Linked DNA regions of Coturnix japonica. The protein of the gene in region 1 interacts with the protein of each later gene in a pairwise test. Links are inferred from orthologs where the notes say so. Each region holds a gene or a part of one and is shown on either strand. Other genes may lie near its edges.

The links.
Region 2: the proteins of LATS2 (region 1) and MAP3K5 come close enough for resonance energy transfer, tested with the Homo sapiens proteins (2 studies listed by BioGRID, with this or other methods). The link is inferred for Coturnix japonica from reciprocal best matches to the Homo sapiens genes LATS2 and MAP3K5.

The regions. Positions count from the first base shown.
Region 1 is NC_029516.1:159,806,194-159,815,273, forward strand, and holds the start of LATS2 (serine/threonine-protein kinase LATS2), read left to right. Parts: upstream 1-3,228; 5' UTR 3,229-3,421; intron 3,422-8,084; 5' UTR 8,085-8,326; coding exon 8,327-8,665; intron 8,666-9,080. UniProt on the Homo sapiens protein: Negative regulator of YAP1 in the Hippo signaling pathway that plays a pivotal role in organ size control and tumor suppression by restricting proliferation and promoting apoptosis.
Region 2 is NC_029518.1:49,699,373-49,708,622, forward strand, and holds the start of MAP3K5 (mitogen-activated protein kinase kinase kinase 5), read left to right. Parts: upstream 1-3,023; 5' UTR 3,024-3,084; coding exon 3,085-3,472; intron 3,473-9,250. UniProt on the Homo sapiens protein: Serine/threonine kinase which acts as an essential component of the MAP kinase signal transduction pathway. Plays an important role in the cascades of cellular responses evoked by changes in the environment.

The DNA.
Region 1 (9,080 bases):
GCTCATTAGTTCCCTCAGGGTTCCCCACAGTTCCCTCTTTTTTTTTTTCTGCTCTTTACCTCTCTACACAGGCGCTCTGTACAGCTACCCGTATCCTCACCTGTCACAGAGTCCCTTGCATATTGCACCAGGACTTGTGTTCCTCCCACGCCTTTTCTATCTGTCTGGAGAGTGAATCATTTCTGCGTCTGTGACAGGAAGGGCAGAGCCATGCTGGGGCACTGTTTATGCTGGGAGAAGATAACAGCAACTGTGCCTGACCTTTGATGAAAAGAATTACAGGCCAGATTGATGGCTACTGGATGCCCTCACCAGATGCCAGGGCCTCGTATATCCTGCATTTTCCCCCTTCTCGGGATGAGAAGGACACTGCCTATGGATGTGTAAAAACATTTCCTAACAGTTTGGAATTGGTTGGCTGTGGTGTTCAAAAGCCATCTGCACTGCATCTGAAGAAAGGAATGTCACCAAGATGACTGTAAGGACTTGAAAAGTTGGCCGACCGATTCCCAAGCAGAGAGCACAGCTGGCTGCTGTTGGTGAAATTCCACACAGACTCACGACATTCCTGCCGCCCTTTCAGGCTCCGGTTGAAGTCAATGATTGACACCAAGTGTGGGGCGGGGGGCAGAGTACGTAGGAACATGGGTCTTTGTGAAATTCAGTGTTGAACCCTCTATATGAGGGTCATAAAGGCAGTCTGAGCATCCACAATGCCTTTGCCAATGAAGTAAACCTGGGTTTGTGTTTCCTCTGCAAAGCTGAGTCAGTTTCAAAGCAAGCTTTGCCCTGATGCATCCATTTTGTGTTGAAATCAAATTCCTGTTCTTATATTCTCTACTCCTTTGCCGATAAAAACAAGTTTGATCTCATAGATGTAGTCCTGATAAAAATAAATGAGGTTATCCAAACTGCAGTTAGAACTTAGTTTTTCACCTGCCTACCTTACTGAACCTTTGTCTGTCATTAATGTTAATTCTCACTGCCATTAAACAAATTATATTTACTTCACAGGTTGGGCTGCCTAAGCAGCGTTGGACTCTGAATGCCTGTTTCTAACTAGTTTAGCATTGGATTTGGGAAGAATGATTTCCCAGTATCACTCTGCAAACAAAACAGATGTATTAAAACAAGAACATGTCAGTGGTGTTTACCCAAGTCCTTTTTCCTCGCACATTGTTCACTGCACATCACAGTAATTTGGTTCTAGACATTTCCTAGTAAAGGATGTTGCTATCAGCAAATTCTTTGAGTACTCTCACACATATATGTGCACAATTATTTTGTGTGTGTGTTACTGTAGCAGACAACCAGACATATCTGACGATCTTGCTTTATCTTTCACAAGCTTTCTGAGTGAGTTCAAGGTTTTGTTGGCTACCACTACTGCGTAACGATTCGTCCACACACATCACAATTGCTCGATTGATCGTATTTTTAGCAGCATGATTTGGTAATTGGTTCCAAATATAATTACTTAGGAAGACTCACACCTTTGCCCATCTAACACTGATACAAGAGAACAGGGAGGGGAGAAGGCGATTCACCGCATTCGATGTGAGAGAATGGGAGAGAGCTGCACAGAGCTCCTGCCTCCTCTTGCTGTCTCAGGTGGGTGGAAAGAATGTGGAGCCGTGGAGCTGTGCTCTTTCCCACCGTACCTACACAGCACAGCAAACAGCTGCTCAGGCAAGTCAAGAGCTGGATGCTGTAATCATCATATGTCCAGCAGGCTCACTCACTTTAGATGAGCCGTGAATAAACACACTGACCCTTACTCATGGCAGATTATTATCTTGTGGTCTAGCTGAAAGTGGATTTGCTCGTACAGACATATTGTGTAGCTCTTTTTATGTGCATCTTTCCCTGTGGCAATACCTTGTTCGGTAGAACACAGCTGGGATGAAAGACTTGATGGATCCACAGTCATCCCCAAAAACTTAGAGATCAAATCATGTTCTCACGGAGCTGTTGTGTCATGCTACAACCAAATTCCGTTTCCTTCATGTTTTCAAAGATCTCATTTTTTAACAGCCTGTTTTTCTAAAGGCAGAAACAGCCTGAGGAGTTTTCTTATAAGCAGTGGACCAGCTGAATACAGTTACTTTGTGGAAGCAAATGCAATCCATCTCTGCTGTACCTGCTGCTGCTGCTGGGAATTCAAACCAGCAGCTCTGTGCAAATGCATGAAATTCAGAAAGTGCAGCTGGCTGGAACCAGGAGGTGAAATAGTGCAGCTGAGTTTCATTCCCAGGTGGATTGGAATGCTAAAGGAAAACAAACAAGCTCGGTGGAGGAAAATAAGTGAACAGATCTGTTTTACCTAGATTCAGAAATGTGGATGACAACCAAATCTTATGAAATAACGTATCAGCAGAGAGTAAGCAATTTTTATCTTGATGCTGTTCCTTTAAGCCAGCCTGAATTTTGTTGGGAAAAGGTCTCAAGGCATTGAGCAATCTCTGGTTTGGGCAATCATGTTGCTATGCTTCATCGGTTAAGCACAACAGTAATTCAGAAAATGAAGCCATGCTGCATCTGTCATATCATTTAAAATTTACTTCAGTATAGCAGGTATTTGAAGATTGCAAAATGAACCACATTATCCTGCAATATTCCTCCAACATTGGAATCTGCTCTGAACCTGATGAGTTTCTTTAGCTTCCTTAGGAGGAGCCAGAGGTTTCCTCCTTCCCCCACTCCCTGCAATATATTCCGGTCAATAACACTATTAAAATTCCAACAGTAATATACAACTCAGTAATATACATCTACAGACTATAGAGATATCTAAAACAGGCTCGGATCCAGGCACTTCCAACTGTAACGAGCTCTGATATGAACTTTGCATTCAAAAACCCTTTTGCAGCTTGGGCCTGGAGTTTTGTCCCAGGATTAGTAACAGATTTACAGCAAAATTTGTGACTGAATCGAGTTCGGGGCGCTGTGAGGAAACGGCGCTGCCCGGTGTGGGGAGGGCTGAGGCGCCATCGGGCAGCGCCGTTTCCTCACAGCCACCTTCTGCCCCCAAAACCCGGGTTGAACCATTTACGAGACTGTAGAGCCACTTGTGAGGTGGGGAAGCGCCACATGACGGCTATAAACACCCCGAGAGGCGGAGGACACACCGCTCCCACCCCATCTCCTCAGGCAGCCCCATCCCCGTTCCCGCCCCGCCGCTCGAGGCCCCTCCCCCCCCCACTGGTATGTGGCGGGAGGGGGGTGAGAGTGGAATGACGCGGGCGCTGGGTCACGTGAGCAGCGAGGAATGCTAACAATGTAGCGAATGTCCCGACTGCGCCCCGCGCTGCGACCGGGACGGAGCGGGCGGACGGAGATGGAGAGCGGAGCGACCCGCCACGTCGGGGCCGCCGCCACCACAGCGCTGCGTGACGGAGCGCAGGGGGTGTAAGCCGAGGAGGTGAGGCGGGTTTGCGACGTAAGGGCGCGGCGGTGCGGCTCTTCCCATAGCACGGCGGCCCCTCCATTCCCACCCCGGATGCTCCGCTTGTCTGAGGGGAAAGTTAGAGCTCGGGGCCCGGGGGAGGCGGGTGTCCCGCGCGAGGAAGAGGGGCGCGGGGCTGGCTGTCGCGTCCCGTCACCCCGCCCCCTCCCCCCCCTCAGGCCTCGCCGCTCCGTGCGGGGCTCTCCGGTGTGACAGTCCGGAGCGGGGGGAGCCCTCATGCTTGGCCGGGGTTCAACTCCTGGGAGCTTTCCATCCCGGGCCCGACCCTCCCTTAGGGCTGTGTGGAGGGGCCGAGCTCCGGCCCCCGTCCGCCTCAGCTTGTTCGGCCGGGCCCGCGGCTCGGCCTGAAGGTCACGGCCCGGCTCAGCGCCTCAGCCCCGGCCCTGCCCGCCGAGTGCGGGACCCGCGCCTTGCTGCGAATCGCTCTGCGTAGCCCCGGGATTGCGGCGGTGGCTGCTGGCCGCGTCCCGCTGCGCTGTGCCGGGCCGGCCCCTGCGTTTGGCTATTTAAGACCCGCCTGGACGCCGAGCTGTGTGACATGGTGTAGGGAGCCTGCTTTGGCAGGGGGGTTGGACTCGATGATCTCTGGAGGTCCCTTCCAACCCCTACAATTCTGTGATTCTGTGAGTCTCGAGCGCTGAGTTACTCTGGGACGGTTTTGTTTGCAGGGGGGAAGACGAGGGGGAATGATCTTGGGAGAAGTGCTCCTTTTGGTTCTTGCCGCTTTTAGCTTGCGTGCTCTTATAAAGAGGAGTGTGCTTTGTAACACAGTGAAATTCCTGGCCCCTTTTCCCTAGGTTAGACCTCCAGCACAAAGTGGCCAGGTTGCTTCCATGCATTTCGGAGCCAAAAAGCCCAGTGCGATGCCAGCAAATTGTGAGAAGGCAGTTGTGTCCGTTCCTTAAAACTTCAGTCCTTACTTCTGCAGCCATCAGTAGTTATTCACCGTGCCGGCACAGTTAGAGGCTGGGAAGCATCTTGTCAGCTCAGGGTCTGAGACTTTGCTCCTGAAGCACAACTGAGCTTTAGAGCTTTAGTTTCTTGCCGGTGTTCAATCCTACAGAGCCACTGGCATATGCAGCCTGTTGCTGAATGAAGAAATGGGAGTGAGTAGGCAGTGCTGCTGGGATGGCAGACTTCAGCATGTGAATTCAGCGTGGCTGGCTGGTTGGTTGCTGCCAGGCAGCGATTGGTATTTCTCAGATGAAGATTCTCAGTTACTCAAAAAGTTGTTCTGACCTCGTGTTGTTAAAAAGATTTGAAATGTTTTTTCTTCAGAGTAACAGGCAGGCTTCTAATTGACAGAACATACAACGTTTTGGCAGGGGAAAAAGAACAGAACAGCACCTTAGAAGTATCTAATCAGAATGGTTTGGAGCTCAGAAATAATTCTGAGTAGTCATTTCTCATGACAGCAAAAAGGCTGTGTGTATATCTGTGCCATAGGCAAGGTGAGCTTTGAGATTTGGAGTTATCTAAGTCCAAATGTACAGTCACAAATCCTTAGACACACTGTTTCTTTTGAGGCATAACCCTTTTACTTGCATATGGACTTTAAAAAGCAGGCAGCTTGTTTCTTTGTAAATTGCCTGTGATACTTAATGTCCTGATTTCTTGGCTGATCTTGAATATCTGGCTTAAAAAAAAGGACAAAACAAACTTCTGCAAAATATGAAGCGCATCTGCAGTTCTGACTTACAGTTGTTGTTCTTCTCATTTGTATCTCTGAGCAATCAGCGCTGCTTTCTAGTTTAGCTGTGCTGTGAATGCAGGCTGAAGAAGCTGCCAGCTGGCTTGACCTAGCTTTATTAGACTCAAGCTCAGGCTAAAGGTCACAGCAGTTCTTTATTTGAAGCATGTGTGTAAGTGGGAAGGCAGTTCTTTGTGGCAGAAAGGTGGGAAGGGCTGGAGTTCTTCCCGCACATCCCAGGCCTGTGGGTTGGCACGGGGTCTGAAAAGAGGAAGAACAGCCCGGATTCCTAAACCCAGCCATATGGTGCCTGCTGCTGTCAGGAAAGGAAGGGCGGTCATAGATCACTTAATTGCTCTGTATCTTTCAAGCGCTAGCGAGTTATGCTGGAGTCCTAAGAAGGCTGTAATGCTGTTTTGCTTTTTAACCCTTTGCTTTGGCTGTGTGCTATTTGTTGCTAAATTCTAAGTGTGCTCTCCAGCAGTTTGATCCTGGAGCTCTCAGCATAGGTGTGTACCACTTCTGGGCTCAGGGGGCTGGGATGGGCTGCTGTTACCTTGCATGGAAATTTCCTTGGTGTGCTTAGTTAAGAGCATAAGACATAGACAGTACCTAAAGTGATCAGTCTGTGCTCCTGTATTTCAAAGTGCTCTGGAGACTATTTCAAAGGACTCTGGGGTCTGACCAGAGGGGCCCAGGGGAGGGCCACGAAGATGATCAGGGGGCTGGAGCACCTCCCCTATGAGGACAGGCTGAGGGAATTGGGTTTGTTCAGCCTGGAGAAGAGAAGGTTGCGGGGTGACCTCATTGAGCCTTCAATACCTGAAGGGAACCTACACACCAGGAGGGGAGTAAATCTCTCGAAAGGGCTGTAATAGCAGGAACTAGGGGAAATGGTTTTAAGTGAAGGAGGAAGATTTAGGTTGGATGTTAGGGGGAAGTTCTTCACTAGGAGAGTGGTTAGGCCCTGGAACAGGCTGCCCAGGAGGTTGTGGTGCCCCGTCCTTGGAGGTGTTCAAACCAGGTTGGACAGGGCCCTGGGCAACCTATTAGTAAAAGGTGTATGTTTGGTGGCCCTGCCAGGCAGGGGGTTGGAACTACATGATCCTTGAGGAGGTCCCTTCCAACCCGGGTTCATTCTGTGATCTGTGACTTGGCTGTAATTTGCCCTGTACTCAGTTCTTGGTTTAGTGGAGAACTTGACTCTCTTGACAGTAGCCCACGTGCCAGTGAGGAGGTGATGATGGGCTTCAAGGGGTATGTGCGGACTCCTGGCTTTCAGGTAGTTATCTGTTTGCTTGTCTGTGAGGGGTGGTAGTAAGTTGTATAGAAATGGTTGTTTTGTTGGAAACGCTGTAGCTGTCACAGGAACAGTTATTGCAGTGGGTGGAGTGTATGACTAGAATGCTTTCTGGAGAAGCTTTTCATGATGTATTAATAATAGTAATACTGCAGGCTGTGAAGCCCCTTTATAATGAGGGCTGAGAAAGAAGGTCCGCTTTGCTTCTGAGTGACCAACGATAGCAGAACTTCACCAGCTTCTGTTTGTGGCTTCAAAACAACTGGACCCGAAATTCTGAGCTTTCTCAATGGAGCAGCAGGGTAAAGTCACTGTGCAGATGTTGGTACTGGTGGCAGAAACAAACTTGTAGCATCAGTGCTATGTGATGCTTCTTTTTAATCCTTTTTCTGAAATGCATCTGTATGTAATGTTTGGCATGTAACAGTCATGGAATCATAGAATTACCCAGGTTGGAAAAAAAGACCTTGAAGATCATCAAAGTCCAACCCAGCTAACCAGTACCCTAACTCTAACAACCCTACACTAAATCATATCCCTGAGCACCACATCCAAACGGCTCTTAAACACAACCAGGGATGGCGATTCAACCACCTCCCTGGGGAGCCTATTCCAGTACCTAACTACCCTTTCTGTAAAGAAGTTCTTCCTAATATCCAACCTAAACTTGCCCTGGCGCAACTTGAGGCCGTTTCCCCTCGTCCTGTCACTTGTCAATGCCACGAAGACTCAGTAAATAAAGAATTCTGATTACCTCTCAGTGCTGTAAAGGTGTCACAAGTTGCAGAGTAGCTCAGTTCTGCTCCATAGTTGTATAGCTGACCTCTGCTGTGTATCATAAGAGGGCTGTGAGGCTGTATCACAGCTGTGTTTTAATCTTATGTGAGCGGTCTGAACTTCTTCAGCTTTTTGTGCTGTTACTGAGTAGCTCCTTCCCTGTCTTCTTGTCAGGCACAGTTAAAGTATGCATCACCCTTTTGATTCCCTCGCCCTTGCACCCTTTAATAATAGCAATAATACAAAGAAATAAAATAAACCCCCTGGAACTGGGAGAGGGGCAATTCTTACCTTCAACATTGGCAAGAACGTTCATGTGGAATGGCAAAATATCTTGTCACTTTGTTATTAAAATGCTAGAAGTTGCTATGGTTAGAATCATCAATATTTCCATTATAAGGCTTTTTCATAAACTCTTGAAACTGAGCTCAGCTTGTGTAAAACAAACAAAATCTGAAGTGGGGGAAAAACGTTTCATGAGCATGCTCTTCCCTAATTATGAAACAGGATAGGCTTGTCCAGGGTTTGGTTATGCAATGGGGTGGGAAACCTGCCACAATTAGGTAGTGTATGAAATTCTCAAGCTTTGTAGTTTCTGAGGTTTTTATTTTCATTTATTTTCAAAACAAGGCCTTGAAGAAAAATGCTTTTTTTGATGATGTCGAGAAAGCCTTTTGAAATCCTATTCTTGAAAACAGATAAAGTGATAATCATCATTAATGCATTAAGCTGCAACAGCTTAATAAGGTTAAACTGATTCACTTTCACTTGATTAATTGTCATGTTGTCCCTTTGGAGGTGTTTACAATATCAACTTAATTACGCGTGCTTTCTGTTTGCTTTTGTTTCAGACGCCGTCGGTTTGTGAAATGATGACTCCAAGGATTTTCTGTAGGAGATGTGAAGACTGTGAGCTGAAGTAAAATGCTGGCAGGAACCTCTTGAGGATTTTGCCATTTTTCTTTTTCCCTTTGAAGGATTTATGTTTACAAGAAATTGATACCGTGAAGCGACACTTCTTAGAAATAAAGTAGCTAAAAAAAAACTACCAAGAATAAAGCTGTATTTATGCTCAGAGAAAACTGGATTAACAATGAGGCCAAAGACTTTTCCTGCTACAACGTATTCTGGAAACAGCAGACAAAGGTTACAAGAGATTCGAGAAGGTTTAAAGCAGCCATCCAAATCTTCAGGTCAGGGGCTGCCTATTGGACCAGGCAGTGAAACTTCTCTGGACCCTAAGATTTTAGTAGGGAAGGATGCTGCAAGGCAGCAGCAGATGAGACAAACGGCAAAGTTTGGACCTTATCAGAAAGCTCTGCGAGAAATTAGGTATTCTTTGCTACCTTTTGCTAATGAGTCGAGCAATACAGCAGCTGTTGAAGTGAATAGGCAGATGCTCCAGGAGCTGGTGAATGCGGGTTGTGATCAGGTACGTATGAGTTGGAAGAGAGGGGAATTGTCACTGTGATCAAAATAAGTTTATGCTTGGTCCTGAGGTAACAATGTTGATAATGGTTATCAAGTTTACTGGTTGTAAAAAATGCACCAACTCTTTTGGCAGTCGTATTGCTGTGTGAATAGCTGAGCAGATGAACTTGCTGTTGAGAGGCATGTCTAGTGTGAGGTTAATTCGTGTTATGAAGATGGTTGTGGTGACCTCTAGGACTTCTGTAATTTCTTCATTTGATGTATAAGGCTTAACAGGGCAGCATGTTTTTGTTGGGTTTTTTTTTTTTTTCCCTTCTCAATACTGTAGCAAGTTCTATCTGTGAGTATTAGGGTGGAATTCTGTCTAATATGTCTGAAAGGAACCTATATCCAGGAGGGGATTAAACTCTTCGAAA
Region 2 (9,250 bases), on another chromosome or scaffold:
CTTCCTTCTGTGCTTGACAAACATGGGCTGTTCTAGAGAACAACAGAGGCACATTGTTCTTGCTTCCTGTAAGGTGATGTAAGAGCAGTGCTGAATGGATTAACACCGATTCTGCATTTTGTGGAAAACTACTTTATTTAGGAAAACATTCATTGTCGTTCTGACCAGAGCAAGAAACAATAACCTACTGTATATTGCAGATTAGCAAATATTAACTTCCCCCTTTAAATTAGTCTTTCGTTTGCTCGTCATCTTCCCACCCCATTTACCCATTCCTTATCAGCAGAAGCAAATGCCAGGCATATCTCACTGAAAATGGGAACCTATCGACGCAAACAGAGCTCCCAAAGGTGACTAATTTCTCCTAACTATTCCAGAATTTATCCTTGTCTTACAGAAGTAATGGAAATAAACAATACAGGAACAGGATCCATGCCAGGAAGTTGATTTTATCCCAACAAGATCCACTATAATGCACAAAGCAGATGGACCTATTGGTAGGACACAAACATTAATAATGCGCAGTGCTACGTTGCTCCATGTTGCAGAGTGGAAAGTGTCGGTCTTTTTTCACAGGTGAAAAGTAATAGAACATGAGGAAACCATCTCAAGTTGCACCAGGGGATGGTTAGAATGGATGTTAGAATGGATGCTGGGGAAAAATTCCTTCACAGAGACAACATTGGAACAGGCTGTTCAGGGAAGTGGCGGAGTCCCTGTCTCTAAGGTCATAGAATAGCTTAACTTAGAAGGGATCTTAAAGATGGTCAAGTTCCACCCTTCCTGCCATGGGTAAGGTTAGCACCATCCTCTGGACCAGGCTGCTCAGGGCCCCATCCAACCTGGTCTTAAATGCCCCCAGGGATGGGGTATACACAGCTTCTCTGGGTAACTTGTTCCAGTGCCTCACCATCCACCAAGTGAAGAATTACTTCCTAACATCTAACCCAAATCTCCCCTTTTAGCGTAGAGCCATCCCCCCTTGCCCTATCACAATCAGACTGTATAAAAATTCAGTCCCCCTCCTGCTTATAAGCTCCCATCAAGTACTGGAGAACTCCAATGAGGTTTCCTGGGAGCCTTCTCTTCTCCGTGCTGAACAAGCCTGGCTCCCTCAGCCAGCACTTCATAGGAGTGGGGCACCAGCCCTCTGGTCATTTTCAAGGCCCTCCTCTGGACCTGCTCTGACAGCTCCACATCTTCCTTGTGCTGAGGGCCCCAAACCTGGACACAGTACTCCAGACAGCAGAGCACTCACAAGCATCTCACTTGTTGCTAGGCCCCAGTGCCAGTCACCGTGTCCTTGAGCAAGAAGCAACAAAAACAACCCCGAGCTAAACAGCAAAAACCCCCTCAGCTGGCAGGGACACGAGGTCATTGCCCACCCCTTTGTTTTATGCAAAAACAGGTTCGTCTGAATCAAAACTCATCTGCTGGTGAAAGGACGCTTTAAAATCTCAGGCAAGTCAGGACCCGTTCCATCCCAGCAGCTGCCGACGAACCGGCACCCCCGGCTCAGAGCGCTGCCCGCAGCACGCCAGGAGACAGAGCTGCTCGGCTTCTCACAGAATCACAGAATTACCTGGGTTGGAAGGGACCTCAAGGATCATGTAGTTCCAACCCCCCTGCCTGGCAGGGCCACCAAACATACACCTTTACTAGATCAGGTTGCCCAGGGCCCTGTCCAACCTGGTCTTGAACACCTCCAAGGACGGGGCATCCACAACCTCCCTGGGCAGCCTGTTCCAGGGCCTAACCACTCTCCTAGTGAAGAACTTCCCCTTAACATCCAACCTAAATCTTCCCTCTTTTAACTTAAAACCATTTCCCCGTGTCCTGCTATTATCAGCCCTTTTGAAGAGTTTACTCCCCTCCTGGGTGTAAGTTCCCTTCAGGTATTGAAAGGCTGCAATGAGGTCACCCCGCAACCTTCTCTTCTCCAGGCTGAACAAACCCAACTCCCTCAGCCTGTCCTCATAGGGGAGGTGCTCCAGCCCCGTGATCATCTTTGTGGCCCTCCTCTGGACCCTTTCCAAAATCTCAATGTCTTTTTTGTACTGAGGGCTCCACACCTGGACACAGTACTCCAGATAGGGCCTCACAAGAGCAGAGTAGAGAGGGACGATCACCTCCCTATCCCTGCTGACCACCCCTCTCCTGATGGAGCCCAGGATCCCATTTGCTTTCCGGGCTGCCAGAGCGCACTGCTGGCTCATGTTGAGTCTTTCATCCATCAGGACCCCCAGGTCCTTCTCTGCCAAGCTGCTCTCAAGGACCACTACTCCCAGCCTGTACAGGTGCCTGGGGTTCTTCCGGCCCAAGTGCAAAACCTTGCACTTTGCTGCGTTGAACCTCATTAGATTCACCCGAGCCCAGCTTTCCAGCCTGTTGAGGCTTTTCCGATACCATTAAACAGAACAACACGGGGTTCCGCCAGTCTTTGCTCCATCCCCGCTGCGGCCCAAGAACCAGACGTGCAGCGCATCCGCCACGGGCAGCAGTCCCCGCCCGCTCTCGGGGGTCCCAGCGGAGCCTTCCTCGCACACCCGACATTCCATTCCATCCCAACGCACAGCCCGGCGGCCGCCGCTGCCTTATTAGTGGCCGGAGGCGGGCCCGGAAGGAGGAGCGCGGTGCGGGGCCGCCCCCGCCTGAGCCGCGAGTAGAGCAGCGCAGCTGTCGCTCGTCTTAATCGGGGGCGCCTGAGAGCAGTCCCACAAGTGGTTCCTGCCCGAGAGGGAGTCGGAGCCGGCGGCCGGAGGCAGAGCGAGGTGCCGGCGGTGCGGAGCGGGCTGCGGGGGGCCGCTCGCCAGGTGGTCCGTACAGGTGCGGGGGAGCAGGGAGCGCCGTGCCATGGTGCGGGCGGCGGGCGCCGCGGGAGGCTGCGTTCGTCTCCTCGCCCCCTGCCGCCGCTGTTAGGCTCCGCGGGGCAGCGCCTCGCCCCAGCCCGATCGCCGTTCCTCTCCGGCAGCTCGGCCACAGCGTGCGGGGATCGCTCGAGGTGGAAGGACGCGGCATGGCAGCCGCCTGACCCCGGCCTCTAGAGCAGAGCCCGGGACGCGCCGCGGTGGCGGCTCCGCAGGGATGAACGACGGCGGCGAGGGGACCATCAGCTTCGCGGTGCCCGGCCCTCCGGGCGGCGGCGAGGAGGGGCTCGGCCGGCGGGCGCAAGGAGCCGACGGCGGCCGCGGCTTCCAGCCCGAGGTGACCCCGCCGTGGGGCGAGGACGCGGCCGTCGCTTGCCCCGCCGCCGGCGCGGGCATCGCCGCGCGGACCAAGGGCGCCGGGCGGCGGACGGCTGTCACCTACGTGATCAACGAGGCGAGCCAGGGGCCGCTGCTGGCGGCGGAGAGCGGCGCCTTGCAGAGCCTGCGGGAGGCGTGCGAGGTGGTGGGAGCCTCGCTGGAAACGCTGCACTTCGGCAAGCTGGACTTCGGCGAGACGGCCGTGCTGGATCGCTTCTACAACGCAGGTGAGACCGCGCCGCCGCGCCCTTCCTGCCGGGGCTTATCGCCTCACCGCTCGCCCCGCCGTCCGCGCAGCTCCGGCCGGGCCGAGGCGCGGCTCCGCGCCGCCCTCCGGCGAGAGAGGCTCGGTCCGAGCGCTGCCCCCTCGCTGTGCCCCGCGGCACCGGGGCCGAGCAGCGCCCTGCGGCTCTCCCGTCGGGAAGCAAAAGTGTGTCAGATCCTCTTTCTGTCCCCCGCTGACCCCGTTTAGGAGAGAAAGCTGTCAGCTAGCGCGCTGTCAGCGTGCGGCTGTTGGCGCTGCCGGCACCGGTGGCTCGTATCCGCGGGTCAGAGATGAGCTTCACCGTGGCAGAGAGCCGGGATGCCCGTTTTTGCCGGAACGGTGAAGCAGGTGTGAGCTGCGAGGCCCCGGGAGCTCGGAGAAGCAGCTAGGATGTGCAGCTCGGCAGCCGTGCTGGTGGCGCAGGGGTCAGTTCCGCTTCCCCTCTGTGCTGGGAAGTTTGCGCTTCGGATATTGGCTGCAATAAAATACTTAGGATGGATGATAAATTAGCGCGAGTGCCCCGTGCTGTGTCCACAGCCCTGCCTGCTTTCACAGCAGTAACGTGGTGACAGCCTCGTCTCAAAGCACTGTGATCTGAGCTGGTGTGTTGTGATCCACCTGAGCCCATGTTTAGAAACAAGACCTCAAAACTTCCTCTTGCTTTTAAATTTTGTAATTAGTAGATAGATATGGGGTAAGTGTAGAATTTATATATATATATATATATAAGCTTACTACCTTAGTAGAGATTTCATAAGACTAAAACTACATTAACGTTGTTTTGCCATTAAAATATATATATATATATATATATATATATAAATACAAGCAAGAATTTGACTTGACCTGTAATTTTAAGCTTATTTTGTGCTTCTGTGTTTATGAAGCACTTTAGCAAATGAGCATTTAAAAAATTCTGGCTGGTGCTGCAGCTTTGTCATCTCCTCTGGAGGAGAGGAGAGCAATAAAGAAGTACCTGTGCTCAGGCCCTGTGCACACAGGACTGCCCAGCGTGGACACGTACAAGCATGCAATTCCCTGGAGCACTGAAAGCTTTGCCCCCTGAGCTGCTGTTCAGGTCCAGGAGGTGGTTGGCTTCAAAGCACAAAGTTGCATTTTACCTTGTAGCTCTTACACAACTGTGTCTGGAGAAGTGAAGCCCTGAAAGGTCAGAGAAGCTGTGTCACAGTTGGAGATAGGAGGCACACAGAGCTTTAGTATAGATCCCATTCTCACCACATTCAAATGAGATACAGGACAGGTGAAACCTGAGAGTCTCACCCGGTTCTTGTTGCATCCATCACTGGAGCCGTTATCGCAGTGAGGCTCACAGAGCTAAATGATCTGTGATATTTCTGTACCTCCTCTGTTAGTCTCTAGCCTGAGCCACACAATAGGCGTGGTCTTGGTAGCGCACAGAGGCTTTTCTTGTGATGGAGCTTGGACTCAAAGTGGGCCCCTTTTCCTTCTGGCAGTAGGCGTCTGGCGTATAGTGCTACATAGCTGCACACTTATGTCATAGATCTGTCTATTTCAATGGCTTTCGAGTAAACTCTCAGAAGGCGAGAACTTTACTTGTTCGTTCAGTACTGTTTGGTTATGGCAATATAATGATACTGTTGCAAAACAGGAAAATTACCTTGCTCTTCTACATTTGTAGCAAAGCTGTAAACGTGAAAAACCAGGATGCATACAGCTCCTGGACTAAGCACAGGATGTAAGAGTTTGCATCTGTTCCCACTGCATTCTGTCCTGTCCGAGCTGTGATCCAAAACTGATGCTGTGCTGGAGCTGGTGTTTAGAAGGATCTATGAGCTTTCATGCTTGTCACAACATATATATATAAGAACTAATTGTTCTCCAGAAACTTAGAGCTAGCAAAAAAATGTAATAATAAAAAAGTTCCTAGGCTAGGAACGGAGCAGCATTACAACATAGAAGCTTTGTAAAGTGAAAAGCACAAATGAAGAGCCAGAGTAGGGAACAAAACTCAGATGGTTGTGAGGAGTGTAATTATTTCAGTTTGGTTTCTTTGGTCGTTTTCATTGCCTTAACTGGGCTGTTTTAAGGGCTATTTTAAGAAACTGTGGTGTATTAAAGTAGTTCAGCATAGCTGAATATCAAATAAGAACTTAGCAGTAAAAATACTTTCAGTTTAGGTAACGGTCGGTTGGTTTTACTCAAGGTACCAAGTTTTACCCGACTCAGTGTAAAGGCCAGTGAAGTCATGCGAGAAAGGAATGATATGATTGGATGGAGATTTGGAAAGTCAGGCTTATTGCTGTGTTTATTGAGGTAGAACAACAGATCTCCCAAGTCTTGTGATGCGTACAAACCAACTGTGCTTTGCGGGAGGAGGATGGAGGTCAAAAGTGTGCTGTAACATCTCTATCCATCATCAGGCCTTCCTTTCTTCTGTCTTGTTTGTACTTTGTGTAATGTAGTCTGAACTCCTGGTGATCTCTGGCAGAGGCTCACTTCATGCCTTTCACTGCTTCAAAGAGAACTTCAGGAAGCATTAAATAAAATGTAATCTGAGATGTAAATACTCCTCATCCCCTCTAAATTTGGATTAGCCAGCTAATAATCTTCTTCTGCTGGCTTCAGTCAACTGATGGTGCTTAAATGCTGAGACATAATTAGCAACGTATATGATCAGTGAGCAGGTCTTGGCTATGTATGTTTGAACCATATGAGCATCAAATATTAAGAATGACTCTATTACAGCATTTTGCCTTATGCGTCTGCAAAGAAATTGTGCTTTAAAAAAAACAAAACACACACAAAAAAACCTACCTCTTGAGAAGCAAATGTTGAATCAACCGTAGTAACTGTTGGAACATTTCATAGATTTCCTCTTTTCAGCGATAGTAAGGGAGAAAGGGAAAACTTAGTCCAATTTCTGTCAGTACTCAGTGTGTCTGGGGTTGGCCAGCTGTCTTGAGAGCTGGTTTCCTTCTTAAAGTGGATACTTCCCTCCTTCCCCCCTCCCCCCCCAGCTGTAAGTTGCATTGAGCTGCTGCAATAGGATTGAAGCTGAATTGCGTGTCTCTCTTAAGTTCAGTTTAATTTCTGAACGATTCAGGAATGCTTATAGAGTTGATCAGAGCTACACCAACGTATAGCAGAGAAACCATCCACTACACTGTGTTCCGAATGTTTATGTATGCTACTGTTTGTTGTTAAGAATGTTTTTTCTCCATTGTAGTGACATGATCTGCGTATCCTGTTGTCTTTTATTACTTACTACTCAGTTCATTTTGAAAACTGAGCCATAAATGAATATGAACTACTTAAAGTTTCTCTGACTTTACGTAAGCAATTTGTTTTTTTTCTACCATGTCTTTTTAGGAAGCTTGATTCATTTCACAGTTATCTCCTTGTGTCTATAATGTTGCATTATACAGAGGCATTTCTTTTTCTTCAGCTTCTTACGCCCAGGTTTTGTGGATCAGTAGACCTTGTTATATGATTTATACTGACAGTGTTATATAGGGATATTGAGATAATTTGCCATAATAGCAAATTATGTAACTAGAACAGAGTTCATCAAATAACAGCAAATGGATTTAGCTGATTATTGTTATTTCTGGAACTCGGTGTCATTGCTTTCAGTATTCATGCAGGCTTGGACTAGGAATTTGTAGGAACTGTAAATGATTGCAAATATTCAGGCACACAGAAATGCAGTAAAGCAGTGGAGGGCTGTTTTTCCTTTAGGTACTCTAGATTCCATTATGTTGTTTTTGAAGTGATTTATGGCTTTACATACGTTTCCTGGGTATTCTGTGATTGTTACACACTGGTGCAAACACTCCTTTTAAAACAAGTATTCTTTTCAAAACTAGCTTTCATGTTTCAAACAGTTGACTTAAATATTTTCTCCAATTAAAAATAAAAACATAAGAAAGAGCCAGCTTGCTACTATGCAAGCTCTTTGAAGGAGCTGGAAAAGTGGTGCTGCTGAGAGACAGAGACTCACTGCAAGTTATATTCTATTTCATGTCACGAAACAATTAGTTTCTTCCGCAACTTACTTGCTGTACTTCCTGACTATTATTTTTTTTGTTTCAGTTCTCTGAGTTTCATCAGACGCTTCAAATGCTGTGTGTTCATCCTCTGATTATTCAGCACTTGCATCCGTCACGTAACTTGCTGTTTGGACACTCCCCTCAGTGCTGCTGAATAACCACAACTCTATCTGCAGCATCTCGTCTGGGAAGTCCCTGTTTGGAATGATGATTCTCATTATGAAAGCTGATGAAATTAGCTTTGCGCATTATTCTTCAGCTTTGAGGGTGACTACTAAGAAAACATAAACATCTGGTACTGCTGTCAGCAGAATTCATGCTGAAAGAAGTTTGCATTTCAGCAGCACTGTGTTGCAAGTGATGAGCTGGAGCAAGAAATGCAGATTAGTAATGCTGAGGGTGTGCAGAATCAGGTTGATGATTATAGGCATACTCTCAGGGTAGATATATCAGTCTTGTGATGGATTACAAGTACAGGATCTTTGTGTCAGAATGCATAGTCTGTGTTGGCACAGTCATGGGGTTTGGAGAAGAGTGGATCGTAAAGCTCCTTTTGACTAAGGGTATTGAGCTCCAGGCTCTGTTAGGAAGAAGCACTGGAATGTTAAATCAGATGTGTTGGCATGGCTTCAGCATAAAACACTATTTCATTCTGAAGCTCCAGAATGTGAACTGTGTTAAAAAGAAGACAGATAAAAGTATATTTTGTCTATTTATAATTAGCACCACTGGAGAGTTTCTGAATCTGTGAATAAAATACAGGGTATAAAACGGTGTATTCACAGCATTTCAATTGCTGGACCAGCTGCAAATTTCATAACTGGACTCCAGCATTGGTACTGTAAACGTGATCTCCATCTGGCTACCTGTCAGTAGGTGACTGGAAGACTAGTAGCCCATCAGCTTCTGCTTGAATTAGATGGAACATGCTAGGTAAAGTGTGTGTGTGGAGTGGATGTGTGTGGGCCTTGAGACCTGTATTCTCTTTCAAGCTCTGTGACTAGCCTGCCATAGCAATCTGTAGCTTTGTTGTGCAGTGGGAGCTTCCTCAGGCCTTTCTGCAGGCTGGGAGGCTTGTGGTACATCTGATATGGGGGTCCTGGGCACAGAAACCCATGTGGCTGGGAATTTCCAAGGACGTCTGTAATGTAAATAATATTAAGAGTGTGTTCTTGCACTTAGTTCATGTTCAAGCTTTTGCTGGGTTATTACAAGTTAATGGCTGTTGAAATGCTACCTTCTGTTAAGTGCATCAGGCTAATAGCACTAGTTTTCAAATACTGTGGTGCTGTGTATTAAAGTGTCAGGAGAAATGCAGGCTATGAAATTGTTAGCGTCTCTTAAAAGCTTGTGATGAGACATCATAAAGGAGGACATAATGAAAGTATATTCCCTGGTGGAAAAAAGGCTGAATGAAGCTAGGGCTTTCAAATGCTTTGTGAGAGCAAGAGAAGGAAGCTGATTTTTTTTCTTTTTTCTTTTCTTTTCTTTTTTTTTTTTTTTTTTTCATTTTTAATTCCCCTTCTCCTACAGTCTGCATTTCTGTAGCTCTGAACAGGATGTGTCATACAGAAATGGCTTCTGAATCTACCACAGCCGTGCTAACAATTTGACTTCTCTTTTTTGTCAGTTTCTACAGTAAAGAATTATAAAATTGTAGAATGATTTGTGTTCAAAGGGACCTTGAAAGTTCTTTAGTGTCATTTCCT